4 linked regions of the Elephas maximus indicus genome follow. The protein of the gene in region 4 interacts with the protein of the main gene of each other region in a biochemical or structural test. Links are inferred from orthologs where the notes say so. Each region holds a gene or a part of one and is shown on either strand. Other genes may lie near its edges. The genes, in order: HABP4, FBL, UBAP2L and PRMT1.

Evidence for each region.
Region 1: the proteins of PRMT1 (region 4) and HABP4 form a complex in vitro, tested with the Homo sapiens proteins (2 studies listed by BioGRID, with this or other methods). The link is inferred for Elephas maximus indicus from reciprocal best matches to the Homo sapiens genes PRMT1 and HABP4.
Region 2: of the proteins of PRMT1 (region 4) and FBL, one has a biochemical effect on the other in vitro, tested with the Homo sapiens proteins (2 studies listed by BioGRID). The link is inferred for Elephas maximus indicus from reciprocal best matches to the Homo sapiens genes PRMT1 and FBL.
Region 3: of the proteins of PRMT1 (region 4) and UBAP2L, one has a biochemical effect on the other in vitro, tested with the Homo sapiens proteins (2 studies listed by BioGRID, with this or other methods). The link is inferred for Elephas maximus indicus from reciprocal best matches to the Homo sapiens genes PRMT1 and UBAP2L.

What each region holds. Positions count from the first base shown.
Region 1 is NC_064827.1:108,222,152-108,229,531, reverse strand, and holds the start of HABP4 (intracellular hyaluronan-binding protein 4), read right to left. Parts: upstream 3,012-7,380; 5' UTR 2,909-3,011; coding exon 2,560-2,908; intron 1-2,559. UniProt on the Homo sapiens protein: Ribosome-binding protein that promotes ribosome hibernation, a process during which ribosomes are stabilized in an inactive state and preserved from proteasomal degradation.
Region 2 is NC_064829.1:111,675,904-111,683,339, reverse strand, and holds the start of FBL (rRNA 2'-O-methyltransferase fibrillarin), read right to left. Parts: upstream 3,010-7,436; coding exon 2,938-3,009; intron 2,634-2,937; coding exon 2,474-2,633; intron 1-2,473.
Region 3 is NC_064821.1:191,992,793-192,000,352, reverse strand, and holds the start of UBAP2L (ubiquitin-associated protein 2-like), read right to left. Parts: upstream 3,019-7,560; 5' UTR 2,948-3,018; exon of another isoform or gene 2,883-2,947; intron 1-2,882. Other genes in the region: C3H1orf43 (protein C1orf43 homolog), read left to right, coding at 3,508-3,573, 3,956-4,057, 7,447-7,560. UniProt on the Homo sapiens protein: Recruits the ubiquitination machinery to RNA polymerase II for polyubiquitination, removal and degradation, when the transcription-coupled nucleotide excision repair (TC-NER) machinery fails to resolve DNA damage.
Region 4 is NC_064829.1:100,126,602-100,134,226, forward strand, and holds the start of PRMT1 (protein arginine N-methyltransferase 1), read left to right. Parts: upstream 1-4,612; 5' UTR 4,613-4,682; coding exon 4,683-4,718; intron 4,719-6,923; coding exon 6,924-6,977; intron 6,978-7,221; exon of another isoform or gene 7,222-7,315; coding exon of another isoform or gene 7,316-7,333; intron 7,334-7,554; coding exon 7,555-7,625. UniProt on the Homo sapiens protein: Arginine methyltransferase that methylates (mono and asymmetric dimethylation) the guanidino nitrogens of arginyl residues present in proteins such as ESR1, histone H2, H3 and H4, FMR1, ILF3, HNRNPA1, HNRNPD, NFATC2IP, SUPT5H, TAF15, EWS, HABP4, SERBP1, RBM15, FOXO1, CHTOP, MAP3K5/ASK1, MICU1 and NPRL2.

The sequences.
Region 1 (7,380 bases), on a different chromosome or scaffold from region 4:
GGACACTTTTTTTTTTTTTTTTTTTTACTTATTAGGATCATTATATTGCCAACTCCCTGAAAACATTTCATTCTCTCTCCAAAATACAAGAAACAAAGGAAAACAGGGGTCCACTTTTCTTCCCCCTCACAATTTAGTATTAAGAGCTCAAGACTGCGGCTGAAGCTGGCTTGTTTTCTTTTGCTGGATCAGCGGCTCCAAGTGGATACCGCAAACACTGCACATCACTGGCCCTTCCCAGTAAGCAGTTGGCACGACCAGTGCCATCTCAGACCTCAGCCCAAGCCCATGTGAAGGGACCAAAAACAATGAAATTTACAGTGAGGTTCCTGCAAAATAAAAACTGAGATTTGGCTCAAAGACCACAGTTCTGAAAGGCTAGGAAAGCAGAGCTGACGCAGCCTCTGGAGACTTGAAGAATGAATCAATTTAGCAAGGTTCAGAACACAGGGCCTGGGTGCATTGCTAGATGGCTAGTCAAGGATATTAAAAACCTAAGTTTCCATGGGAGAATCTTACGATTTCTACATCCTTTGGGGATTAATAAATGTTCCTAAACATGGCTGAACACGTTTAAACTTTGATTTTTGTCCACACTAAGCATTCACCTATAATATTCTAACTAAATTAAAAATTCTGAATTAGAAAAATATAGTACTTTATGTCAGTTAGGGCTACAAAGCTTTGAGAGAGTAGCTAACACCATTACAGACAAATTTAGTCCAGTAACTACATACACAGGAATTAATTAGCTGTTTGCTCCTCCAATAATATACACTGAAAAAGAACTAGAATGATAAGATTTTCATTCTAACTACAAAATCAACTACAGATTGTAATAGGCTACAATGTCAAGTGAAGGTAGCCATTTGCAACTGTTTATATAAGTTAAGGAAAAAAAGTTCTGTGCAACTATAGATACAAGTTGTTAACAGGAGGGAAAATAGGGGCTTTTCACTTTATACATTTCTGAGCTGTTTACTTTTTTTTATAAGATGATGTTTCATTTGTAAGAGGCCTAAGAAAAAATACATCAGTAGATATCACTAAATGCAGTTCCACACCACTGTTAGAAACAGGGAGCAGAAAAGATTAGCCTTCCTAAGTGTTTAATTTATTACTATATTTACCCCTAAGTAAATGTAAAAGAAAACAGAGAACATAAAACAAAACATAAACTATAGCTCAAGTCTTGCTGTCTATAAATAAGCCCATGAACTTCCTGGCCTATCAGGAGGCCTTGTGACCCAACAGCATTTTTGTTAACTTCTAACACCTTTATTGTATTGACTTAATTTTCTGATTCTCAAATGACGACTACGAACTGGACACAGATAAAGAAGGTAAATCATTACCTACGTCCACAAGTCAAAGCCCCAATATTTGAACCAGCAGGTGCTCTTTCAGGGTAGCTAGTTTTTATCAAGTGGAACAAGTCAATAAACCCAGTTGAATACACTGCCATGTGATGGGTGGAGAGGTCAAACTACACATCTCAATCTTAACAGCATTTTTCTGCAAACCTTGGAACTGACCATTGCCTTATTTCAGGAAAACAGAGGAAACACAGGTGGCATCTTGCTGATTATGCCACTGTTGTCAGCTGCAGGGAGAGAAATGACCTCAGAAGTACACTCCCTGTACACACACAGTAGTGCACAAGGTTTGCACTGGCCCTTCTTGCTAAACAGGGAGGAGGGAGCCTTGAATATCGTTGAAAAGGTTAAAAAGGATTTTCTTAAAGCAGCCTTGAGTTAATTACAAGTTACACATCCCATCAACAACAGTACCAGATGCACTAAAAACCGATGCCTGCAGACTACTAGAAGCTTGTGTATGGGGATGCGTTAAATGAAGAGAGCTTGCAAGGAGCCGGGGATCCCGCGGCCACCTCACCAGCACGCTCGCTCGTTCGCGGCCCTGACGTCACAGCCGGGCCCCACGCGGTCACCAGGCCTTCACTCCATCACCGAGGCCAGGCAGCCCCTCACTCCGGCCTCCCTACCATTTTCCACACATCCCAGTCTCTCACCACCACCTCCAGCGGGCTGGGTGCTCTCTCCCCGCCACCCTCATCTAAGAGGGACTCCCCTCTCTCCTTCCCATTACGCTTCTCTTTCTGCCTCCAAAGCACAATCTTGCAGAGGCTGGGCTCCTTGCTGGCTCTGATGTGAGACCCCCGGGGTAGCAGCCCTCACACGCCCCAGCAATATTCCTCAACTTTATCCAACTTGATCTAAGGGCTCACTTCCGGGGTTTCGAGACCCCCCTATCTCCCCCCTCCCCCACAGAAGGGGCTGGGAAAGGCCAGAAGCGGTGGGAACCTCCCGCCCCACATTCTGGTCCTCTTTCCTACTTTCCACTGCCACAAAGACCCTTAGCTCACCCCAACATTCCCCAGAGTCCCCTTCCCTTTCTGGAACATAGTTTTTGGGACCCCAGCCTCACAGTGGGGGTCGAGGAAAGTTGAAGAGGGTGACCTCAGTGACCCCATTCTCCTTCTTCTCCCGCCCGCCGCGCCCACCCGGGGGCGCCCAGGTGCCGGTGGGACGTGCGTACCCGGCAGCTGCTGGCCACCCCCGGGGCTGTCCGGCTGCTGCGCGCCAGGGGCCGGGAGGCTCTTGCGCTCCTTCTGGGACTCCCTCCGGCCGCTGCCCGCGCCGGTTCTGTGACCCGAGGCCCCGGCGGGGCTCCTGCCGCCGCGGTTGCCGACCCCGGCTGCCGCCGCCTCGTCGCGCCTCTTGCGCTGCAGCTGCTGCTGGCGCCGGCGCTCGGCCTCGCGCAGGATGTCGAACGGGTCCGACTCGTCGTCCAGCAGCTGGTGGAAGCGGTTGGCCACGACGCAGCCGAAACTCTCCTGCATCGCTGCGCCGGCGGCGGCCACGGGGCTCCCCAGGGCGCCCTTCATGCCGCCGCGGCCACTGCGGGCCCGCCGCGGGCAGCCCACGCGAGCGAGTCTCAGCGAAGCCGGCGGCGAGGACCCATCCCACCAGCTGCCGCCGCCGCCGCCGCCCTCCCTGCCCTGCCCGGTCCCCTCCCCGCCCGGCGCCCACCCCCGCGCCGCCGCCGCCGCCGCAGCCCGCCCAGCCGCCGCCGGGGGGCCAATCAGCGCGCGCGGACACGCCCCCTTTCCTAGCCGGCGCGCCTGGTAGCCCAATCACTGACAAGCTGCTGTCTCGTCATGCGACCTCTATGCCCCGCCCCTCCGCCTCATCTAGGGAAGGCGGGGTCCAGGGGGCGGGGCTATGGGGGGAGAAAGGGAGACTTGTGGTCCAGGGCGCCTGGAGAGGCGGTTTGGTTCCAGCTGTCACGTCTGTTCTCTTTGAAACTCGGTCCATATTCGTTCTCAGTCTGTCTTCTTCGAAGATTATATAAATTTATCTAGCCATTCAACTGCTACTTCTTGAGCACTTACTATGTGCCAGGCACTATGTTGTCAGAGATCCCAGGTCCGCGTCTTCGAGGAACTTAGAGCCTACAAACTGGGAAAAGTGTCCCGAAGGGAAGGCTCCAAGTTCTCCAGGCGTCTATAGCGAAGAAGGAGCCCTGATGGCGCAGTGGGTAAAGAACTTGGCTGCTAACCAAAAATTCAGCTGTTTGAATCCACCAGCCGCTCCTTGGAAATCCTATGGGGGCAGTTCTGCTCTGTCTTCTAGGGTCGCTATGAATCGGAATTGACCAGACGGAAATGGGTTTGCTTTTTGGTTTGGGGGGCAAGGCTTTCTCTAGGAAGTGACGGTTAAGCTGAGGTCTGAAAGATGGCGAGGAGCAAAGTTTTGGCGTGGGATGGAGCAGTGTACATTCAAGCTCGCGGAAAGCCTGTGTAATTGGAATGTAGAGTGGGAGAGAGGTCAGCAGGGACCTTGTTTTGGTCTTTATTCTAGCAGCAGTGGGAAGCAAGTTTTAAGCATGGTCAGAGTTTTATTTGTAAAGGCCACTCCAACTGCATTGTAAAGGAATAGGTTGTGGGGAGGTCAGAACACGTGTGGGAGACCAAGCAGAGATTATTACACAAGTCCAGGAAAGCTGACGATAGTGACAAGGACCAGGCTGGTGGCAGTGTGGTGGGGGGAGAGGAAGAGTGTGACTAGAAGAGAATGAAGTGTTATTTTGGAGGTAAATCAACAGAACTTGGTGATGTCCTAGATAAGGGGGATGAACCAGGAGGGAGGGTACAGTGACTCATTTCTCTGGAGTGGGCAGCTGGAAGGGCGGTGCTATTTGTAAAGAAAGAGAGCACTGGAAGAGACCACTTTGATGAGAATCATGAGTTCAGTCTTCGACACGTTGAGGTTTGAGTTTTGTTTTGTTTTTGAGATATTCAGTTGAGGCCTGGTGCACAGAGGAGAACACTTGACTGGATTCCCTCCAGGAAATCTTGCCAGGGCTCCTGTGGAGACAATCTTGGCTGCCTGTCCTGCAGCCATTCCTCTTCTGCTTACATTTTTACAGAACTGGTATTTTGTTCAGGTATTGGGGGAAGTTGGGCCCCCTTCCAGTCTCAAACGTGATTCATCTTAAATCACACATTGTAATTCCATTCCCTTGCCAGGCTCATTATGTGAAATGTGGTAGAACAGTCCTCAGAAGTAGTACATCAAGGGGAACTCTGAGAGAGCTTTTCTTGCTTCTAAGAAGGGACTGGGTGAAGGGATCTGCCCTCTTCCACACTTCTGTTCTTTGGTCCTTGTTATGTGAGAACATTATACCTAGAGTTGCTGTCCCTTATTAGAGCATGAGGGAATTGGCTGATACCCTGAAGATGGCCCAGCAGAATGACAGAAAAAACCTACACCCTTGATGTTGTTGAGCTGCTGACTTAGCCAAGAGGGAACCTCCCTAAGACCAGCTGTCACTGAGTCAACTCTGACTCACGTGTCACAGCATAACTGTGCGCCGTAAGGTTTTCAATGGCTGATATTTTGGAAGTAGATCACCAGGCCTTTCTTCCACGGCACCTCTGGGTGGACGCCAACCTTTTGGTTAGCAGCGAAGCATGTTAACCATTTGCACCACCAGGGACTCCCTGGGAATGTTCTTACCTTGGACTTATTATGTAAGATGATAAATGCCATCATTGCTTAAGCTACTCTTAGTTGTGTTTCTTGCATCTAAAAGTATCCTGTTAGAAGACCTTGCTCAGGTGCTTCATAACCAGCTTTCACTTTCTTTTCATAGCAAGCAGCAGAGGAACCCTTGTCCCAACTGCTGCCAGGTCTGTGTTTTACTCATTCAATTTTATGCCATTCCAAATGAGGGAAGGGATGATGCCTGATACATTGCAATTTGTATTCCCAGTACTTAGCATTCTAAGCTGTCATAGTAGGTTCTCAAAAATATTTGTTGAATGTGATGATTTTAAGATATTTGGTTCTCTACTTCTTTGAGTCAGCACAGATTACTTTTTACCCTAAACAATCAAAAACAGGTGTTCAAACAAAAACTTGTACACAAATGTTCAAAGCATCACTATTCACAATAACCATGAGATGGAAACAGCTCAAATGTCCATCAACAGATGAGTGGATCAGCCAAATGGTATATAGTCATGTGTTGGAATATTATTTGGCCATAAAAAGGAATGAAGTACTGATACGTGAAATAATATGGATCAACATTGAAAACATGCTAAGTGGAAAAAAAAAGACACAAAGGCTGCATATTATAGGAGCCCATTTATATGAAATGTTCAGAATAGGCAAACCTGTAGAGACAGAAAGCGGATTAGTAGTTGCCATCATTATTATTAACATTATCATCATTTTGAATCAGGCTTAAGACCAAGTAGAGCCATAATGGTTCCTTGTCATCATAAGGCGAATGACACTTACAAAGATTCTTCATCGGAATCACCTGGACGGTGAGTAAAACACAAAGCTTGCTGAGCACCCTTCAGAGTTTCTGAGTCAGTCAGTAGCTCTGGGGCAGGGTCCGAGAATCTGCATTTCTAACAAGTTCCACGTTCTGCTGCCACTGGTGGTCTCTGGCATCTTTAAGACACAGCACCAAGGAACCATCGCTACTTAGGGACAAGGGCCTGTCATCTTCCTACTGGACATCCAGAGTTAGGCCATTCCCCTGCTTTCCTCCTATTTTCTCTCCAGCATAGTCAACCCTAGCAATTTCTTAAAGCATGCACTTAAATTAGGCACTCCGTCCTAATTTCTAAATCACAACCTCCTAAGACAGTTCCAAGTGAGCCAGTTCTGGTTGCTTCAGGGTTAACCAGTTCCCCTTGAATAGATTCAAACTCATGTCGATCCCATGTGCGTCAGAGTAGAACTGCTCCACAGGGTTTTGCTGGCTGTAATGTTTATGAAACCAGGTCTCCAGGCCTTCTCTGTGGGTTCAAACCGCCAACCTTTAGGGTAATAGTTGAGTGAAAACTATTTGTGCCACCCAGGGACCTCTCAGAACACCTTTATAAACCCCACTGCCTTAAAGTCAATTTCAACTCACAGTGACCCTATAGGATAGAGTAGAACTGTCCCGTAGGGTTTCCAAGGCTATAAATCTTTACAGAAGCAGACTGCCTTATCTTTCTCCCACACAGCTGCTGGTGGGTTCCAACTGCCAACTTTCAACTAGCAGCCCAGCACTTTAATCACTGCACTACCAGGGCTCCCAGAACAGATTTAAAAAACACTGAAATAGGGAGCCCTGGTGATGCAGTGGTTAAGCATTAAGGCTGCTAACCAAAAGGTTGGTAGTTCGAATCCATTAGCTGTTCCTTGGAAACTATGGGACAGTTCTACCCTGTCCTGTAGGGTCACTGTGATTTAGAATCAACTCAAAAGCAATGGGTTTGGTTTGGGTATTAGCTGGCCAAGGATTTCTTATGGAGCTGTTGATTACTTTAGAATTTACTGGTGGTAACTCACTAAGCAGCCTCACCTGTTCTAACTCACCACTTTCTGCTGGGAGATTGTACCCTTAAATGCATTCCTGAAATACAGCTCCATCACATTAGCATGAGTTATTTGCAGCACGGTGTTTAACGTGGTTAGACTGCTCTTTCTAATATATGAAAACAATCTTTAGTAATTATAATACCAAAGGAGCAGTGAGGCATGGCTGCCCTTCCACTGTAGTTGTTTATTACCACCAGTGGAAATAGTTAAGCTGAACTGCATACAAAATGGAAATTACCTTGAGTTTATTTAACATATGAGTTCCATTGGGAATAATAAAATAAAACACTAAAATCTTCCAGATTGGCTTTAAATTCACAGAAAACACTGGGAGAGTTCAAAACAGGGCTATAAACCAGTTTGTTCCAGTTCAAAGCCCTCCCTGCTGAGGATTTGCATTCCCGCCCCCCCCATATACCGAATGAGAATCTACAGTTTAACAAGATCACCAGGTGATTCTTAAAAAAAA
Region 2 (7,436 bases), about 12 Mb from region 4:
CTGGAAGTTTGTTTTTTTTTTGTAGAGGGCCCTTCCACAAATACACTGGTTTCAAATCAGCTCTCCTCCCACAGCCTTCCCCAGTTCAGCAAACAGCAACTCCATCCTTCCAGTTACACAGGCCCAAACCCTTAGCTATCCTTGACTCCTCTCATACCCTCCATACAATCTGTGGGTTTCTACCTTGAAAATATATTCCCAATCAGTCCCACTGCTCGGCCACGTCCACTGCTAACACTGCTTCAGGCCGCCACCATGTCCTTCCTTCAGGGTTACAGTAGCAACCTCCCACTGGTGTGCCTGCTTCAACTCTTGCTCCCTTCTAGTCTCTCTTCCACACAGAAGCAAGGCCAATCCCTTAAGAAATACTAATCAGACTGTACCCCATCCCTGCTCAAAGTTTACCAAAGGCTTTCTCTCTCACTCAGATTACACTCTTACTAACAAGCTGGCTCCTGACAACTTCTACAGCCTCACATCCTACCATACAAGGCGGAAGAGGCTGGGCTGGGGTAGAAAGTGTATCCACCATTTACAGATGACAGGATGCCTGCAGGCATGCCAGAATCTCACTGAGATGCCTGGCCTAGCACCACCCCCCAATCCACCCCATCAGATCCCCAAATACTAAGAAAGGGAGTTTGGGAGGGGAGCATGGATCCACAAATTTCCCCCTTCCCAGATGACACCATCTCCTTGACATCCAAAAAAAAAAAGGAAACAAAAAGGAAAACCTGTGCTTAAAACAACAAGAACAAAAAAAGGGCCCTTCTGGCCATGGGTAGGAGATTGATCAAACCCAGTGAAGCAAGTTCTCTCATGGGGGGAGGAGAAGGGGGATGGGCCTGAGGGGAGGGGCAGAAGCTGAGACAGCAGGCATAAGGACCTGTTATGGATTTAAGTGCGTCCCCCCAAATTGTGTGTTGTAAATCCTAACCTCTCTACCAATGCTATAATCTCATCTGGGAATGAGATGTCTTTGCTATGTTGAGACAGGATTAGTGTAGGGTGTGTCTTGGGTCAATCTCTTTTGAGACATAAAAGAGCTTCAGCAGGAGAGAAGCAGAAATGGGGGATGAGAGATGCCAAGCCACATGAAGACTGCCCAGGAGCAGAAGTTCAAAGAGACAAGGACCTTCACCGCAGCCGACAGAGAGAGAAAACCTTCCCCTAGAGCTGGCACCCTGAATTTGAACTTCTAGCCTCCTAACCAAAAAAAAAAAAAAAACCTGTTGCCATGGAGTCAATTGCGACTCATAGCCACCCTACAGGAGGAGCAGAACTGCCCCATAGGGTTTCCAAGGAGCAGCCGGTGGATTCAAACTGTGGACTTCTTGGTTAGCAGCCGAGCTCATTAAAGCCACCCACTTGTGGTATTTCTGTTATAGCAGCACTAGATAGCTAAGACAGGACCCTAATTTTATTCTCCTTGAGAATGGTAACAATGAAAGCCAAGATACCAACACTAAGCAATTATGCCAAGCGTTGTTTCAATTTTACAGGCTCTCACTTAATCCTGACCGGGCGTAATTTTATTAATGAGAAAACCGAGTCTCGAAAAAGTAATGCCATTTGCCCAAGGTTACACCAAGAGATTAATAAGCAGAGCCAGAGATGAAACCTTGAATTGAGGCCTGTCTGCTGTCAAAGCCAAGACTTCCACCATTCCATCATGAGAAGCCGTGATGGGTTCATCAGAATTCGGGAAAACCGAATGAATAAAACCATTCTCTGTGACTAGCTCCTGTTCCCCGCCCCTCCCACCAGTTTTGGTCTTGTGGAGTTTCACTTCACCGCGGAGTTGGGAATCAGCAGGCCCACAATCTCCCCTCCATCCCCAGCCACCGGCTCTCGGGAAGACTAGAGAGCGGGAAAGTGACTCAGAGCGGGCTGCAGACTATCAAGCCGAGCGGAGATCCTCATCCACTCCCGGCGCTCTCCGAGAAGCCGGGTGGGGGGTCAAGGGGATGGTGGGGGCAGACAGAGAAGGCAAACGGAGAGCCTCCCACATCCAGCTCCCGGACCCAAAATCTGAGACTGCCCATCCCCGACCCAAAACGGATCCCCATAAACCACGCCCAGAGAGAGCCAAGACCTCAGGTGTCTGCATCCAGACTGAGCCAAGCGGCGCCCCCGGTCCAACATCCTGGACGCCTAATGACGGTCCGAATAAGGCAAATCCCAGTTCAGGACCCCCCAACCCCAGGCCCAAGACCCTCGACACAAGCTCGCGACCGCCGAAGCCAGTCCCAAACCCCACACCAGGAACCCGCCCCCCGGGCTCAGGATTGATCCCAGGGAGGAACCAGGCTTCCCGCCTCACACAAAACCAGAACCCCAGCCCCACACGAGACCGGATCCCAGGTTCAGAGCCCCTGCCCCCACGCCAAGGCCCCGCCCCCCAATTCCGGTCCGGCATCCCGACTCCAGCCCAGTCCCAGTCCCCGAGCCCAACCCCAACCCCGGCCTGCACCTGGCCTCATGGTGAGCGCTGAACTGCGCGGCTCCCAAGTCTGCGGCGACCCCGACTCCACGCGTCTCTGGCTTTCGCACGTGGAAAGGAGCGCAGGCGCGCGGCGACGCACGGTGGTGACGCAACCACGCTGCCCCGCCCCTCGGGGCCTCTGCGGCGCCTGTGGCCCGGCGCGCGCGCGGTGGGCGGGGATTCCCCAGGCTTCTGGCGACGACGCGCTCTTTGCTCTCCAAGCCTTTGCCTGTGATTACTTCCCTGAACAAGCTTGCTCCATCTGCGCGGCGAGCATCTCCGTAATCAGGACTCAAACGGAGACCTTCGCATGGACTGTGGCCTCTGCCCCTATTCCTAGCTCACTCTCTGAGGTTCCCCTCGACACCCAAAAAGCCTTCCCTGCCCAATTTCCACCCTCAAGAACACGGACCCCCGTTCGTATATTTGAAAATTGTGATCCTTGTATGTACCTGGGACGGTTCCAGGCTCTGGAAATTCAACAGTGAACAAAACATCAGAACCCCCGGCCTCCTGGAGCTCATCCTCGGGGTGGGAAGCGGTGGAAGGAGCGGGGACAGACATCAAACAAGTTAGTAAAACATGTTGAATGTTAACCAAAAATCAAACTTGTTGCCGTCTAGTCGATTCCGACTCAGCGACCCTATAGGGCAGAGTAGGACCGCCCCTAGGGTTTCCAAGGAGCGGCTGGTGGATTCGAACTATCAACCTTTTAGTTAGCTGCGAAGCTCTTAAGCACTGCACTACCAAATCTCAAAAATTTCAAAAGCTACCAATAAATCTGCCTGCCTTGGCTAACAACACAAATGTTAGCAGGCAATAAATGCCTTGGAGGAAATACGGACTGTTGGAGTAATATTTTTATAAGATGGTCAAGGAAATAAATGTATCTGTGACTTCTGAGTAAGGACCTAAAGGAGGTGAGGAATGAGGGACACACCTGTTTGGTGAAGGAGTTCCAGGCATGGATGTACCGCACTTTAACAATTCACCTGTTGAAGGGCATGGAGATTAATTCCAGTGTGGGGCTATTACCACTAAAATTACTATCCAGTTCGTCTACACGTTTTTCTGTGCCTACACGTTTTCATTTCTCTGGAATAAATGCCCAAGAGTGCAATTGCTGGGGCATATGATAATTGCATTTTTAATTTTATAAATTACTGCCAAATTGTTTTCCAGAGAGGCCGTACCATTTTACATTCCCACCAGCAATGTATGAACAATCCAATTTCTTAGCATTCTTGCCAGCATTTGGTGGTGGTACTATTTCTTATTTTAGCCATTTTGATAGATGTGTAATGATACCTCATTGAAGTTTTGATTTATACTTTTCCTGATGGCTAATGATGTTGAACAACTTCTCATGTGTTCATATGCCATCTGTATATCTTCTTCCATTAAATGTCTTTTCATGTCTTTTTCTCATTTTATAATGCCATCGTTTTTGCTTTTCTACTGTTGAGTTTTGAGAGTTCTTTATATATTCTAGATACTAGTCCTCTGTTGGGTATATGGTTTGTAAACATTTTCTCCCAGTCTGTAGCTTGTCTGCTCAGCCTCTTCACATGGATTTTCACAGAGTAAAATTTTTAATTTTGATGTGGTCCTATTTATCAAATTTTCTTTTTATGGATTATAATTTTGGTGTCAAGTGTAAGACCTCTGTGCCTAGCCCTACATTCTAAAGATTTTCTCCTCTGTTTTTTCCTAAAAGTTTTATGTATTTACATCTTACGTTTAAGCTTAAGATCCATTTTGAGTTAATTTTTATATAAGGTGTGAGGTTTAAGGTTAATTTTTTTTTTTTTTTTTGCCTATGTCTGTTCAGTTGCTCCAAAACCAGTTGTTGAAAAGGCTGTCTTTTCTCCATTGACTCGCTCTTGCACCTTTGCAAAAACTCAGTTGAGCATATCTGTACCATCTATTTCTGAAGTCTCTATTCTGTTCCGTTGATCTATGTGTCTGTCACTCTGCCAACACCACATTGCCTTGATTGTTGTGGCCTTCATATCAGGTACAGTGCTTCCTCCCATTTTATTCTTCTTCAGAAAAATTATTTTTAGTTATTCTAGGGCCTGTGGTTTCCATGCGAGGTCCCTGGGTGGCACAAATGATTTGCACTCGACTACTAACTGAAAGGTTGGTGGTTCAAACCCACTCATTGGTGCCATGGAATAAAGGCCTGGTGAGTGACTTCCATGAGGATTACTCTATGAAGCAGGTCTATTCTGTAACACGTCAGGTTCCTGTCAGTTGGCATTGACGTGACAGCAGTAGGTTTTTTGATTTTGGTGCCTTTCCATATAAATTTTAGAGTAAACTTGTCTATTTCTTTAAATAAAAAAACCTTAATAGGTGTAAGAATGGCATCCGGGCATCAAATCTCCTCGTCTGACTTCACAAGGAGGCAGGTAAATCATTATCAGCATCAACAGCCAAGGGCTGTGAGGTGGAGGTCAGACGTGCCTCCACCCACCAACATTTGTACCAATTCTGACGCCAGCTGTCCCTCCCACGGCGCTCGCTACTTCTCTGCTGGCTTCAGTAATTCATTGCAATGGCCACACAGAACTCACAGACCATACTCACACTTACGGGCTTTATTAGCAAAGTAGCAGGTTACACTTTAAGTGTTGAAAAAACGTTTTAAAGATATCACCTTGAGGACTAAAGTGCACCTGACCCAAGCCATGGTGCTTTCAATCACCTCATATGCATGCGAAAGCTGGACAATAAATAAGGAAAACCAAAGAAGAATTGATGCCTTTGAATTGTGGTGTTAGAGAAGAATATTGCTTATACCATGGCCTGCTGAAAGAACTAACAAATCGATCTTGGAAGAAGTACAACCTGAATGCTCCTTAGAAACAAAGATGGCGAGACTATGTCTCACATACTTTGGACATGTTATCAAGAGGGATCAGTCCCTGGAGAAGGATATCATGCTTGGTAAAATAAAGGGTCACTGAAAAAGAGGAAGACCTTCAACAAGATGGATTGACACAGTGGCTACAACAATGGTCTCAAGCATAGCAACAATTGTGAGGATGGCGCAGGATCACCCAGTGTTTTGTTCTGTTGTGCACTGGGTTACTACGAGTTGGGACTGACTGGACGGCACCTGACAACAACAATCATTTTGTAGGCATCACAAAACCATGGAGAAAGAGGCCATATAAAAGCAGTTCGTTGCACAGCAATAGGATAGGGGATAATTGACATCTTTATTAGTGCCACGGTAACCGTGCTGGTCTAATGGTTAAGTGCTACGGCTACTAACCAAAAGGTTGGCAGTTCACATCCACCAGGTGCTCCTTGGAAACTCTATAGGGCAGCTTTACTCTGTCCTGTAGGGTCGTTATGAGTCAGAATCAACTTGACAGCAACGGGTTTGGCTTGGTTTGGTTTTGGTTTTATTAGTGGTGCAGGACTGGGCATTGTTTCGCTGTGTTGCATATAAGGTTGCCGTCTTGGTTATCTAGGGCTGCTATAACACAAAAACCACAAATGGATGGCTTTAACAAAGAGAAATTTATTCTCTCACAGTCTAAGAGGCTTGAAATCCCAAGTCAGGGTTCCAGCTACAGAGGAAGGCTTTCTCTCTCTCCATGGGCTCTGGCGGAAGGTCCTTGTCACCAGTCTTCCCCGGTTCAGGAGTTTCTCAGCACCGGGACCCTGGGTCCAAAGGACATGCTAATCTCCTGGCTCTTATTTCTTGGTGGTATGGGGTCGCCCTGTCTCTTTGCTCACTTCTGTGTTTTATATCTCAAAAGAGGTTGACTTAAAACACAACCTAATCTTGTAGAACTCAAATTGACTACATCTGTGGAAAGAGACAATGGAAAAGCTCAATATCATCAGTTAGAACAAGGCCAGGGGCCGACTTTGGAAAAGACCATCAATTGCTCATATGCACGTTGAAGCTGAAACTGAAGAAAATCAGAGCAAGTCCACGAGAGCCAAAATATGACCTTGAGTATATCCACCTGAATTTAGAGACCATTTGAAGAATAGATTTGACACATTGAACACTGGTGACTGAAGACCAGACGAGTTGTGGAATAACATCACGGACATCATCCATGAAGTAAACAAGAGGTCATTGAAAAGACAAGAAAGAAAGACCAAGATGGATGTCAGAGGAGACTCTGAAACTTGCTCTCGAACGTCTAAAGCAAAAGGAAGAATTGATGAAGTAAAAGAACTTAACAAGATTTCAAAGGGCCTCTCGAGAAGACAAAGTATTATAATGACATGTGCATAGAGCTGGAGATGGAAAACCAAAAGGGAAGGACACGCTTGGCGTTTCTCAAGCTGAAAGAACTGAAGAAAAAATTCAAGCCTCGAGTTTCAATAGTGAAGGATTCCATGGGAAAATACTAAATGACGCAGGAAGCATCAAAAGAAGATGAAAGGAGTATACAGTCATTATACGAAAAAGAATTAGTCAATGTTCAACCATTTCAAGAGATGGCACGTGATCAGGAACCAATGGTACAGAAAGAAGAAGCCCAAGCTGCTCTGAAGGCATTGGTGAAAAACAAGGCTCCAGGAATTGATGGAATATCAACTGAGATGTTTCAACAAACAGATCCAGCGCTGGAGGTGATCACTAGTCTATGCCAAGAAATATGGAGGACAGCTTCCTGGCCAACTGACTGGAAGAGATCCATATTTACGCCTGTTCCCAAGAAGGGTGATCTGACCGAATGTGGAAATTATAGAACAGTATCATAATATATCACGCAACCAAAATTTTGCTAAAGATCATTCGAAAATGGCTGCAGCAGTATATTGACAGGGAACTGCCAGAAATTCAGGCCGGTTTCAGAAGAGGGTGTGGAACCAGGGATACCACTGATGATGTTAGATGGATCCTGGCTGAAAGCAGAGAATACCAGAAGGATGTTTACCTGTGTTTTATTGACTATGCAAAGGCATTCGACTG
Region 3 (7,560 bases), on a different chromosome or scaffold from region 4:
TACTTTACATTGTTTTATTCCTTTCCAAAGAGGACAATTTTATACTTTTCCGCTCTATAGTTAATTTTTTTCTAAATGAAACTTTATACAGGGCAATTCTAGATTGCCCAAAAGCCACTGCTGGATTTGAAGGAGAGAGAGGGAAGGCTTCCAAAGAAATATTCAAAGATTAACTGTTAGTAAAGTGAATTTCACCTTGGACGTCACAGAGAAAGCTGACTTTCCTATGGATAAATCCTTCACCAAGTTTAGTCAATAGACTGTGTAGGTTTTTTTTTTTTTTTTTGGTTTTTGACATGGTCCTTAAAAACTAAGAGTGCTACATTCGCTATCACCAAGAAAGATTTTTAAGACAATTTCAGGGCTAATTTTTAACCATTAACTCTTCCCCCTACATATATGTGCACACAAAGGCCTGTAAATATTTCAGGCTAGTACAAGACTAATTGCTACACATTAACCCCTTTTCCTAGGCTATAACCAAGTTTCAACACTTAATTTACCAAAAAAAAAAAAAGTGTTGTTTAAGTACTTCCGGATCCGAATCAAAAAGAGAAAAATTTTAAGACTGGAGAAAAACTGTTATACTTTAAAATTAGTCCTATAAGTTTCTAATATGGAAATAGCCATTTCCCACTCAACCCAAATATTGACTGCTTTCTACTCCACGTGATTTCAATTCTGGAGAATGCATTATAATGCAGATATAAACTGCAGGGACAGCAACATATACTGTACCCAATCACATGTAAATATGTTAAAAAGTCATCTCAAAAGCCACATAATTGACTAGTAAATAAAAATCTTCCTGATAATCTTCCTATTAAATTCCATTTCTCTCTTAAAGTGCTTTGAAATGTGTGACTAAGAAAATTTTACCACCTAGGTGGTAACAACACTGAAAATCAGATTAAAAGCAAGTGATCTGGGATGGGCACTTGGAGGTACAGAATTGGCTGCCTTTTAGTAGCAAGCAGTCATATACCCAGAGTTATCACAGTGGAGGCAAGGAATCTTGTTTAAAACTCTCTGATACAGAACAAAAATATTTAAGGGAAATACGGTGAGAATTATTGGAGAACAGGGTATAGTGTGAGAGTAAATACAGGTTTCAACAGAAGCGTCCTTGACTAATTTATGAAAACCAGCTACTTAAAAAAATAGCCAGAGAAATTTTTACTGAAAAAAATAAATAACAAATATTTATTGAAGAACTACTATGTGTCCAGTACTTCAAGAAATACAAAAGCAGTATGATTTGGTTACTGCCCTCAGGGAGCTTACAATCTATTTGCGAAACAATTCAGAAACTCTGAAGTTCGACTGGAGTAGGGTAAGGCTTGGTGCCTTTAAGAAGCAACTTTTTTGGAGATGTTTTGTTTAAATGACCCCTGCATCCCCTTCCCCATCAACATAAATCTAGTAAGAAAAAAGTACTCCCCAGTTGGGACACACTTAGCAAGGAGAAGCTTTAAAAAACAAAAATAAAACAGTACATTTTGGGGCCTTTCAGCACGAATTTACATGCCAGCAGTATTTCCCGTTCACAACGGAAACAATCACTGGGATAGTCTAATCTTTAAGGACAATGGTGTAGGATCTCAAAGCACTTTTATCAAACGATACAGAGCCAAAACGTTTTAGTTCTCTGGTAACGCTCATTGTCACCGACCCTCAACACCTCCCAGCAAGTCACATCAGATATCCCCAAAGCAGGATATAGGGAGTGGAAAGGTGGGTGGGAAAAGGAGACAAAAAAGGGATTTCTACCTCTAAAAATCAGAGTAAATCAAAAAGCAAAAACGGTAACAACAACAACAAAAAAAAGCCTGTTACTGTGCTGTTCTTCTTTCCACAACACCCTGCACCGGAGGTGGCTACATTTCAAGAATGGTGGAAAAGAGGCAGTCTCCAGTTCATGACATCAGTTTTCGAAACAATTTAGGGACTGTCCAGGTGAAGGGTATGAAAAAATTTGGAATTCCTATCCCATTATGAGAAGAGTGAACAAATACCCCAATGCTCTAGTGACGTCCCTTAGGCAGAATACACCCTATGGAGGCCTCCATGTCCAGCTTCCCAAATAACATCATAATTGTTTGGGGTACCCAAAACTACAGTATGGGCGCCGTGAAGCTAAAGACAGCGGTAAAAATATATTACAAAAGCTGGGGCGGTGAGAAAGATGGAAGGGTATTAAGACGAGCTGACAAAGAGGGTGGAAACGAAGAGGGGACGCAAGCCCACGCGTGGAAGATGGAAGGCTCACCCCCCTCAGCGCCACATCGGGAACCCACGGGGCCCATCGGCTCTCTACCTCCCACCCCGAACAAATTAATCCCCCGCACTCCAAACTGAGGGCCACATGGGGGAGTTTGGGGCAGCTCCACCCCATCGCCCTCCCTCCCCCCCCGCCGCCCCTAAACCAAGCCGGATCCGGATCAGAGGAGGCCCGCAGAGGGTCGGAAGATGAGGCCCCTCGGTCTTCTCCACAGGCACCGATTCGTGGACAGAGAGAGCCCTACCTCAGGGAGAGCCCAGGCCTCGCTCGCTCGCGCTCTTTCTCGCTCTCCCCCCATCAGGCTTTAGCCGCATGCCCCCCCCTTCGGCTGCCCAAGCCCCGCCCCGGCCACGCTCCCAAATCGAGGCCCCGGCTCTGGCGCGGCCCACTAGGCCGCGAACCTAACCATAAACAAAACCTCCAGCGGCCGACTCGGGAGGGGGGGGGGGGTAGGGCTCGCACGACCAGGAATCGGGGTGTACAGTCGGGGGGGACACACGGCGTGGGGGGGCCTACCGAGGGAGGGGGATCTGGCGGGGATAGGGGAGAAACGAGGGAGGGTAAAAGGAGATCGCGGATTTAAAGGGGCCGCGGACAATACCCGGCCCCGCCGCGCTGCCACTGCCGCCGCCGCCGCCGCCAACGCCGCTGCGCTCCCAACTTTACCTCAGTCTCCTCCACACTGACACCCCGGGCCGCGCCGCCCCTGTCACGTGATATAAGATTCCCTCCTCCCCACCCCCTCCCTCCTTTTCCCTCTCGCGCTCGCTCTCGCGCCTTCCCCCTCCCACTTGCCTTCCTGCGTCCCCCAGCACGTGACGCGAAAAGGGACGCGCACGCAAGCGTGCGCGCACCGCCCCGCCACGAGACACCTCGCTCCGGCTCCGCGCGTCCTCCCCGCCTCCTCCACGGCGGCCCCGCCTTCACCACGTGATGCGCGGACGGCCTCCGCTTCCTCTTACTGGCGTAGTTCCGCGTCTCGGCCGTCGCCGCTCCCGGGTGCCATTGCAACCTGAGTCACGTGCCGGGGGGGGAAGCGGGAAGGCGTCGCTCCCCTCCCCCCCCCAGCCGCCATGTTTTCGGGCCGGGTCTTTCTTGGTCTTCCCCCATAAGGAAATGGCCGGAGAGCTCCGGGAAACCCAGGTGCCGTTGCCTCGGCGGAACCCGGGCTGACAAGGCAGGGCAACGGGGTAAACCAGAGCAGCTCTGTGCGGGGTGGGGAGGCCATGGCGTCCGGCAGTAACTGGCTGTCCGGGGTGAATGTCGTGCTGGTGATGGCCTACGGGAGCCTGGTGAGGAAATCCCCCCCCATTCCTGTTGTCGCGTCAGACCCAGTAGAGACCCTCCTCTTGAGCGGTTCCCTGTCCTCATTCTCCACCCACTCACCTGCACTTTTTCTGGGCTTTGACGCCTATCCCAAGAATACCTGGGACTTAAGTCACGACTAGGATTGCCCCGCCCCTGGCTGAGAACCCTCCCGCTAAACTCCAGAGCGGCAGTCCCCATGCTTCCCTCCACAGGCGTCCCCAAATCCACCCCTATGTTTGACGGCCTTGATTTGTCCCAGGTTTTACCTCAAAGCACTTCTGAGAGCCCAAATCGGGGGAGTTGAAGGCGTGACTTTTTTTTTAAACTGTCTTTGAAAGATTCTTTTTCTCATATTTTTTTGGGCAGGTGTTTGTGCTGCTCTTTATTTTTGTGAAGAGGCAAATCATGCGCTTTGCAATGAAATCTCGAAGGGGACCTCATGTCCCTGTGGGACACAATGCCCCTAAGGTAGGTTCTTAAGGCATACGATGGGGCTGGTTCTCCAGATCTTTTAGGAGCAAGAATGAGATTTCCTTGTTTGGTGTCCGGTTACCGTCGTGCTTTTCTTGGATGGAACAATAACTGTCACCTGTGAGATCTGACTTACTGCTCCTGCTGGGGTATAGCACTTAGCGTACCCATGAACCTTAGTTTTGGCATCTGCAGAATGAAGGGCTTGCATTAAAGTTCCCAATTCTTTGTGGTAAGGTGTTTTCCAATTCATCTTAAATTACACAGTTTTTATTGTTTGGTTTCATTTTAGAATGGGGTTAGGGTGGTTAGAATTAGCCTCAGAGTGATAAAAAGGTCTGCCTTTGCAGAAGTTTAGATTTATAAGGGCCCCATAAATCATCTAATGCTGCTGTTTATGCTACAAACTGAAACCCCAAAAAGGGAAGCAAGTTATCCAAAATATACAGCATGTGAATAGCCAAATGGCCTGTTATCTTCGTTTACACTCTCTTCTTAGGTGATTGAATTCTTTTTCTTGACTGCAAGTATCTACAGATATGGTGAAATTTTTATTTCTATTTCAAATCTCTTTTCTCTATTCTGTACTTATATATCCAGGTGCTTATTTGTCATGCTTACGTATATGTGTGATGTCATTGTTAGGTGCTGTTAAGTCAGTTTCAATTCACAGCAACCCTATGTGCAACAGAACAAAACACTGCCTGGTCTTGCACCATCCTCACAATCATTGCTATACTTGAGCCCATCATTGCAGCAGCTGTGTCAATCCATCTCGTCAAGGGTGTTCCTCTCTTTTGCTGACCCTCTACTCTACTTAAAAGCCAAAAACTAAATCCGTTGTAGGTGTCTGATAGGCATCTAAAACCTAACATTTCTAATTCAGAGCTCTACCGTTTCTATCTTGTTTCTTCAGTCTTCCACTTAGTATAGGCATCCGTTACGTTTCAACCTGCTTTTGTATGGCTGTTGCCTATGATCACTGCAGTTTAGCTACACTGGTGGAATTTCCCAGCTTAAAGGCATGTGCTATGACTAGAATGATTTTCCCCTGATCCACATTTGGCCATTTCATTCATTCTTTAGATTTTAGCTTATATGTTATTTCTTCAACAGAGGAGTTTTTATGTCTTAAAGTGGGTCTCTCCTTTTATTTTCTTATAGTACCCTGGTTTTTTTTTCCTTATACCATTCACAATATTTCTGTTATGTTTGTCTGTTTAATGCCTCCCTCGTCCACTAGGCTGTAAGCTTCAAGAATGCAGGCACCACGCCAGTTTTGTTCACTGCTGTAAAGTCAGGACCTACGCGTAGTAAAACCACTGCCGTTGAGTCGATTCCGACTCACAGTGACTCTGTAGAACTGGGTGAAACTGCCCCATGGAGTTTCCAAGGAGCTTCTGGTGGATTGGAACTGCTGACCTCTTGGTTAGCAGCCATAGCACTTAACCACTGTGCCACCAGGGTTAAATACTCAATAATTCATTGTTGAAAGGACAGCAGATTAGTTGGAGAACTAGGGCTAGTATATGATTCTTCCAACTCCTAGACCAGTGTTAATCTTTTATTAAGTTGCTATTACTCCGTCACACTGTAGTTCTTTACTGACATATCACCTGGAAAGACACAAGGAGGACGTCACGGCCTGAAACCTCTACAGTGCTCGTTCCACGTGTCCTCAGTTCATCAGATGCCAATTGCCTCTCATAAGAGTGACACAGAATTGATTTACCGTATATCATGAGTTAGTCAAAACTTTTATTTCTTTATAGATAAGATCAAGATTAATTTTTCTTTAAAAAACTCTTAACTAAATTCTAAGAAGTGGAACTTTAAATTAGTAAAACGACTTTAGAAAATAATTGGATTTTATTGAGTAAGATTGCACATGTACCTAATCCATGATCTAGCAATTCTACCATACAGAAATTAATTTTTGCTTATATGTACCAGTAGACAGGTATGAGACTGTTCATAGCACAATGTTTGTAATAATTTTTTAAAAACAATCCAAATGTCCACATTCAGGTAGATAAAGATGTATTTGTGTTCTGGAATATTTTGTAGGGATGAAGATACAGATCAACACAGATGAATCTCCAAAATATTTTTGAATTAAAAATGAGTGCAAGCATGAGTGAATCTCAAGAATATGCAGAGTGAACAAAGCAAGAAAACCTGACATAAAAGAATATGTGCCATATAAATCCGTTTATGTGAAGTTCTACAACAGGCAAAAGTATAGTCATACAAAGCACATTAGTGTTGCCTGGAGCCAACAGGGGAAGGATGACTGCAAAGGAGTATGAGGGGACATTTGGGGGTAGTGAAAACGTTGCATGTCTTGACTGGGATGGTAGTTAAACAGGTGTCTTTGTTAAAACTCAGATGTACACTTAAAATGGGTGCATTTTATCGTATGTAAATTCAACTTCGATTTAAGTTCGTTTAAAAATTTAAAAGTTGTAGAGAAATTTATGTATTCGTCTGTCCATATAAAGTTCAAAACCAGGTAGAGCTAAGCAACTTATTTAGGGTGACAAGTGGAAAAAAAAGTGAAGAAAGAGAACTGTTAACAAATGTAGGTTAGGGGTGGGGGGGACATCCAAGCAAGGATGAGCACAAAGGGCTTCAAAGTCACTGGTAATGTTCCATTTCATAAACTGGTACAGGTGTTCATTTTAATGGTTCTTATTCAAAATGTACACATAATACGCATTTTTTTTGTATATGATATATTTCACGGTGGAAGTTTTAAAAAAGTTGCAAGAAACTTAAATACAAGAAATTTCCCCAGACACTGGCAGTTGTTTGGGTAACAAAGAGGTGGATATGAAACCGGTAACGGTAGTTGCTTCTGAATAAGTTAGGGATGGCACCTTTAGTGCTTTTTGAATTTTATACTACAAATATAAATTATATATTTTAAGGATGTATTTTAGTTTTTTAAAGGAGCCTTTAGAGTCCTGTGGTACACCAGGTGGGTTAATCCTTAAGCTATTATATAGGTTGTATACAGGGCCCCTTCTTATAGATTGAGAGTGTATGTGACTTCAGTTGTTATGTATTTTTTCCCAACTCAAGAAATTCTTTATAATAGCTAAGCAAGATTCTAAGTCCAGTTGAAAGTGAGAAATGTCGATGCAGGTTAATGTTGTTTTGGCAGGTTAAAGGAGCTAGATGAGAGATACGGAGCTTCGAGAGTTTATTAGAGAACCCAATCCCATTCTTTCTTAAATTTTTGCATCTTATCTGATAGTTTCAGTAGCTACAATTTTCTCTGTTTCTGTTGTCGTAGTTGTTCACTTGCTCAGCTCCATTTCCAGATTGGTGGGAAACAGAGTGCAAGGAAAACTGATTGTATATTCTTTTCTCCACTTGAACAGGATCTGAAAGAAGAGATTGATATTCGACTATCCAGGGTTCAGGATATCAAGTATGAGCCCCAGCTCCTTGCAGATGATGATGCCAGACTGCTGCAGCTGGAAACCCAGGGAACT
Region 4 (7,625 bases):
CAGTTTAGCTCAGTGTCTTGCTCAGGGTCTCACAAAGCTTAAATCAAGGTGCTGGCCAGTGCTGTGATGGCAGATGTTGAATTTCTCCTAATTTGTTTTGTATTTCTGTACCTTATGTGGAGTCCAGGTGGTGCAGTGGTTAAGTGCTCAGCTGCTAACTGAAAGGTCAGCGGTTCAAACCCACCCACCAGTTGCTCTCAGGGAGGAAGATGTGGTAATCTGCTTCCGTAAAGATTTACAGCCTTGGAAACCCTGGAAGACAGTTCTATTCTGTCCTATAGGGTTACTGTGAGTTGAAATCAACTCGATGACAATGAGTCTGGTTTTGGCTTTATATAATGAACAAATTGTGTTTCACATTTTACTTTCCTAAAGATTCGTTTATTTTACTGAATTTAGAATTACATCTCAGTGGTACCATCGGAGGGCAATGATGTATTATTGCATAATATTAGATTCAGCTCCATAAAGATCTTTGTATTAATTGGGTAAAGTAACTGAGAACCCAGGTGTCATACTGGTTGGTAATGTACTTGTCTCACCACCTGTCAGTTTGTCATACTGTGGTGGCTTGTGTGTTGCTAGGATACTGGAAGCTATGCCACCACTATTTCTGATACCAGCAGGGTCACCTGTGGTAGACAGGTTTCAGTGGAGCTTCCAGGCTAAGACAGACTAAGAAGGCCTGGCGATCTATTCCAAAAATTGATGATGTTGTTGTTCCTGTTAGTTGCCATCGAGTTGGTTTCAACTCATAGTGACCTTATGTCCAAACGAATGAAACACTGCCTGGTCCTGCACCATCCTCATGATCATTGTTATGCTTCAGCCCATTGTTGCAGCTACTGTGTCAGTCCACCTGGTTGACAGTCTTCCTCTCTTTCACTGACCTTCTGCTTTACCAAGCATGGTATCCTTCTCTAGGGACTGGTCCCTCCTGATAAGACATCCAAAGTATGTGAGACAAAGTCTCACTCCCAAAATTAACCAGTGAAAACCCTGTGGATCATAACCGAACATTGTCCAACTCACTTTGGACCCCTTCACAGAATATTATCAAGAGGGAATAATTGCTGGAGGAGGACATCGTGTTTGGTGGAGGAGCGGGCCAGCAAGGGATAGAGAGACTTATCCTGAGATAAATTAGCACAATAGCCATGACAATGGACTCAAACACGCTGGCAATCATGAGAACCAGGGAAAGTTTCCTTCTGTTGTGCATAAGGTTGCCGTGAGTCAGAGTCACCTTGACAGAGGCTGTCTCTCTCTCTATGTATGTGATATATCAAACTTATCAAATTACATGTGATTAGGTGCTTATTATTTTATATGAATTACACCTTCAATAAAGTTGATTTTAAAAAACAGCAACAACTAAAAAATGAATTTCTGTTTTCAGACATCCTGTGATCAGAACACGGTCAGCCACTTGCTAGGAGTTTGACCTTGACCAAGTCACTTTACCTCACTCAGTTTCCTCTCTTGTAAAATGGAGGTGATGATAGTACCTACCTCAATGTACTGCTGGGAGGATTAAATGAATGAATTTATATAAAAGTTTTAGAAGAGTGGCATAACCCGTTGCTGTTCTGACTCATGGTGACCCCACGTGTTACAGAGTAGAACTGCTCCCTAGGGTTTTCTTGGCTGTAATCTTTACGGCCAGCCTTAGTAGCGCAGTGATTAAGAGCTTGGCTGCTAACTAAAAAAGGTAGACAGTTCGAATTCATCAGCTGCTCCTTGGAAACCCTAGGGAGCAGTTCTACTCTGTCCTATAGGGTCACTATGAGTCAGAATTGAATAGATGGCAATCTTTTTTTTTTTTTTTATTGTGCTTTAAGTGAAAGTTTACAAATCAAGTCAGTCGCTCATACAAAAAGGTATACACACCTTGCTATGTACTCCTAGCTGCTCTTCTCCTAATGAGACAGCACACTCCTCCTCTCCACCCTGTATTCCCCGTGTTCGTTCAGCCAGCGCCTGCCCGTCTCTTCCTTCACATCTCCCCTCCAGAAAGAAGTCATAGATGGCAATCTTTATGGTAATTTTTATGGAAGAGCCCTGGTGGTGCTATGGGTAAAACACTCAGCTGCTAACTGGAAAGGTCAGCGGTTCAAACCCACCAGCTGCTGTGCGGGAGAAAGACCTGGCAATTTGCTTCCATAAAGTCGGAATCCACCTGATAGCAACGGGTGGCCACCCTCCACCCAGGCTGTTGTGTTGTTAGGTGCCAATTCATAGCAACCCCATGTGACAGAGCAGACCTGCCCCATGGGGTTTCTAAGGCTGTAAATCTTTATGGAAGCAGATTGCCAGGTCTTTCTCCCGTGGAGTGGCTGGAGGGTTTGAACCACAGACCTTTCAGTTAGCAGTTGAGTGCCTTAACCATTGGGCCAACAGAGCTCCTTGAAGGGTGGCTAGTGCCTACTAATTAATGCCTGTTGGTAAGCTTGATCCATATTTGGCCAAACCTACAAAGTGGCAAATCTGTCTTGGAAAAAGTACAGCCAGAATGCTTCCTGGAAGCGAGGATGGCGAGACTTCGTCTCACGTACTTCGGAGGTGTTACCAGTAGGGACCAGTCCCTGGAGAAGGACATCATGCTTGGTAAAGTAGAGGGTCAGCAAAAAAGAGGAAGACCCTCAACAAGATGGACTAACACAGTGGCTTCAACAATAGGCTCAAGCATAACAATGATTGTGAGGATGGCCCAGGATTGGGGCAGTGTTTTGTTCTATTCTACATAGGCTATGAGTCGGAATCGAGTCGACAGCACTGGCTTTGGGGTACACAGGGTTACTATGAGTCAGAGCCAACTTGATGGCACCTAACAACAAATAACAACAAAGTGGTAAGGAGTTTGTCTTGAAGGATAAAGAAGTGTTAGCTTCTCCCCTGGAGAACAAAGTAAGGGGGTGTTCAATGGCACAAAAGTGGGAAAGGTGTGAGCTCAGGGAAGTAAAAATAAAAAAAAACCAAACCCAGTGATCGAGTCGATTCCGACTCATAGCGACCCTATAGGACAGAGTAGAACTGCCCCATAGAGTTTCCGAGGAGCGCCTGGCGGATTCCAACTGCCGACCTTTTGGTTAGCAGCCATAGCACTTAACCACTACACCACCAGGGTTTCCCTCAGGGACGTAGGAGGGGCTTATTAGGGCAGAAGTGATGGGGAGGGTGGTTGAGGCCAGGCAGATGATCGCGGCAGCTAACCACGCTGAGGGGGCTGGGACCTTGTCCTGGGGGTGCTTGGGAGCCAAGGGAAGTCTTTGAGTTGAGGAGGGGCGGGGTCAGCTCTGGGGACAAGAGGATGTGGGTTACTTGAATGGAAACTGTTGGCTGAGAGGTAGGGGAGGAGTCTGGGACGATGGTCCAGGAGGACGAGGACAGTACTGGCCGAGAGTCAGGGCAGGAGGGGCAGGGCTGGGGAATGACATACTTAGGGAACGAGGGGCTGACTGCCCTGGCTGGTGACTCGGTGGGAGGTGGAGCTGTCCTGATTTGGGCATCCGGGAAGAAGAGAGGCTGTGAGAGGACGTCCTCAGTGCGGGGGCGTCATGGTGGGTGTTAGGAGTGTCTGTAAGTGTGAAGTGATGTTGGAAACCTTACACACCTAAGAGTTCACCAGGGAGGAAGGAATGTCGGGGACCACAGCCTAGGTATAGACCCAGAGATACTAGAGCGAGCTCATCCCGGGACTGGAGAGAAGTTTGGATTGAGGAGAGTTAGTGGGATAGGTGACAGGAGAGGCGAATTCATCTTCATTCAACGACTAGTTTTTCTGCAGACCAAGGAAGGCTTCCACAGGAGGTAGTGTCTAAGCTGGGCTCTGATGGATGTATAGGAGTCGGTAAGACAAAGGCTGTTCCCGGCAGGGAGACGGGCTCGGATAAAAGCCAAGAGGCTTCAGATGGGTTGTTGTGTTTAAAATACTTAGAACCGTTAAGTAGACGGCTAGGAGTTAAATGCTTTGACGTCTGACTTGATTCGAGACCCCAGACAAACCTGCTCTCTTTCTAGGCCTCTTTCTGCTTCAGTTTTTTCCCCCAGGTAAATGGAAACAGTTTCCCTTTTTTCTCCTAGAGTCCCCTCCGGCAGGAAGAATACCCCCGAAAGGAAGATGAGTGACAGTTCCTTTGAGCCAATTGCTGGGACCCAAAGTCCGGCTTTCCTCCCCTCTCTGGGGCCAATTGCCGTGTTCTTCTTGAGGTTGGCGAGGGCTAGCTAAAGACCTCATGACGTCACCCTCTGGATAAACCAATGGCAGCGATAAGAGGCGGGCCGTTCTGGTGATGGATGGCTCTGTTTCAAGATGTCCGCTTAGCGCGGGGCCCGCCGGGAAGCTTAGAGGCGGTGCTGGGGGAAGGGGCGGGAACTTCTAGTTGACGTCGCCCAATCACCACTCCGTTTTCTTGCGATGGACGGGCCGTCTTCCCCATCCCGTTCGACCTGAGGGGGCGGGGTCCTGCACGCTAGACTGGGCGGGCCTCTAAGCTTTGCTCGATATCGCCTTTACCCAATTGTTAACCGGTATTTCCAGACGGGCCGCCCCCATTGCCAATGAAATCTCTTGGTGGAGTTGCGGTGGGCGGGCCGTGGACCCTCCGGTATAAGACGGTCCCGGGGGAAAGCGGAGAAAGGGGGGGTCTCGGCCGCCAGAGGAGGAGTAGCTGCGGGTGAAGATGGCGGCAGCCGAGGCCGCGAACTGCATCATGGAGGTGAGAGCTCGGAGCGCCGCCGGGGTCGGGAAGCGGTTTGGGGTCTGCGTTTTAAGGTCCTTCGTGGGGGAAGGGGCTCCGAGTCGGCGAATTGGGGCTGAAGGTACCCAGCCGCACTGAGACGGCGCCGCATGCCCCGGATCTGGGGATATCGTTTGAGGTGGGAGGTTCCCTAGCTTTCGGGGCCTTGCGGTAGCTGGCCGAACCAGGGGTCTCAACCCCCCACCCACGTGGAGGCGGGCTGGGGGCGCTTCCGGCCGAGCCCCCACGTGGCCACGACCGGGTGGTGGGGAGGGGGTGTGCCGTGCCCGGATGCCCGGCGGGCTCCACGTGCGGGACAAAGGCCCCGCCTCCAGCCGGGGGAGGGGCGCCGGGGGGCGGGGAGGAGGCTCCGACCCTGCGTCGAAGGCCCCGAACCCCTGTCCGCGGGAATCGGGACATACACCGGGGGGGTGGGACTCACCTGGGCCCACTGCGATGTAGTGGATCTCCTGTGAGGTTCAGTGCCTTCCGACCCTGTACAACCCCCTCCCCAGGTTCCGGGGCATCTTTTGGGGCACAGGTCCAGGTTTTGAGCCCTCTTGGGTTGGGATTGGAGGAAGGAGAAGAATCGGCCTCCTTCCAGCCCCAATTTCCTGCCCCTGAACTCTTCCCCTTGCCCAGGGCTTTAGGAGCTGGGGGATGGGGCATGCCCCTTTGACCTCTCTCTGGGTGGGGGGATGGAGGCCATCCTTCCAGATAAGGTGCCGTGCACCCCCTTGTGGCCATTTCTGGGTGTGTGGGAGGGACAGCTTTTTCACGGGGCGTGTCCCGAAGCCCACCTTTTCCTTGGATCCCTATCGGGCAAAAGGGGGCACATGAACGCTGGGAAGGCGATCTGACAGGGTATGAGCGCAAAGCTTTACCGCTTACTGGAACCCTTTCTCTTCCTGTGGCATTTCCCACGGACGACCCCCCTTTCTGAATCCCTGTGTGGGTGTCCTGAGTCTGGGTGCAGGGAAATGGTTTCCAGTGAGGCTTGGTTTTCGTGTACCCGTGTGGGGAGAGTAGTCCTGTGTTCCGCGGCCTCTTAGGCCAGGGTTGTCTGGTGGTGGTGGTGTCAGATGTATTGGGAAATGGGGCCTGGGTCGGAAATCTTCTCACCAGCTGCCCTTATGGGCATCCTTACCGGCCAGTGGCTCATGGCCTGTGACTTGGCCCTTCCTGGAACCTGGAGGGAGGGTGGTCACATCTGGAAGACGTGTTATCTGGTGGAACGTCTGTACCCCAGCCCCCTATCTTATAGCCTTTTCTGGAGTGTGGAGGGTCAGTTCCCAAGATGCATACCACTGGAGGACAGCTCCCAGAGGCCACTCCAATGCCCCCACCTCCCTTGGCTCGCTCCTGGACCCAGAGCTCTATAGGTGGAGCAAATAACCTTCCCCGGGGCTTGCCTCAGCTCGTGGCCCCACACCTGGGGGGCTTCGGGGCCTGGGATGGGTGTCTGAATGGGAAAGATGGGGGTCTGACTCTTGGAGCCACATCTTGGTCCATCTTCTTCCTAAGAGGCTCCAGAATCTGTCCGGGCTCCCCAAGACACTGCCTTCCTGGTCATAGAGAGGGGCTTGGTTCTAATTGGTTTTATTTTGTGCTCCTGCACCTGGGACAGGAGCCTAGGGGCTGGGTTACCAGCTCTGGTGGGGGTGTCTGCGTGCCACACCTCCTTTCTGGAACCCTCTCAGTTGAGAGACTGGTGTGCAGAGGTGGTGGTTGCCCAGTGGGCATACTCTGCCAGGCCCCCCAGCTATTCCTGGCACCCCAGGATGGGGATGTGTGTCAGGAAGTGTCACCTAATCTGGGGGGATTAAGAGGGAGGAGGACGACAGCTGGCAGTGCCCGTGTGCCCGGCGGGGGGCCAGGTTCTCTGGTGTGGGTGGGGGAGGTATGCGGTCAAGTGCCTGGCTGGAGGGGACAGTGTAGGGGCGGGCCACCATCTCTCCAGCCACAGCTGGGACAGGAGAACCCCCTTACCCGCCTCCCCCACTTCTCTGACCCCTTTTTGAAACAGCCCTGCCTCTTCACACTGTCACCACTCCCCACCAAGAAAAAGGAAAATTGCAGGGAACCCCCTCCCCAAGAGCCCTGGTTCTGAACCCCCGACCCTGGCCTGTCCCTCCCACAGCCACTCCCAGTAGCTAATCCTTTCTCCCTGTTACTCTCTCCTAGAATTTTGTAGCCACCTTGGCTAATGGGATGAGCCTCCAGCCGCCTCTTGAAGAAGTAAATATCCTTTTGTGAGACCCCTCCCCACTCTCACCTCACCTCCAACTCAATCTAGCTTGCCACCGACAGGCCCTTTCTGGCGGTCCAGCCTTTCCAGCAATCTAACCATGATCCCTCTTGCTGCAAACTAGTTTATCCCGTGCCCCCAAAAACACTTAGTACGGTCCCCTCCAGGTTTGTAGCCCCCCTCTGGCCTCCCCAACACCGTGGCTACTTCCTTAACTCCATTTCCAGTCCCCACTTGCCCCCCGGCCCTGTGTCTGCCCCAGCCCTGCCTTCCCCTCCCCTCCCCAGCTGTGGGCTGAGCTAGAGACGGGGGCAGAGAGACTGGAGAGATGGTAGGCGTGGCTGAGGTATCGGGGTGCCCTCCTGGATGGTGCTCTCGGGGGGCCTGGAAGAGGAAAATGGGGTTTGGGGTTCCTGGGGGAGGCGAAATGGCAGAGGGGGCTGTAGGGTTGCCGTGGTAAGCCTTTGGTGGAGTCTACATGCTCCAGGCAGAAGTAGGAACCTGGAGGTTTGAGAGGCTGCAGGGAGCCCCCAGATTTGACCCATGCTCCCATCCGCCCTCTCCCAGGTCTCCTGTGGCCAGGCAGAGAGCAGCGAGAAGCCCAACGCCGAGGACATGACGTCCAAAGATTACTACTT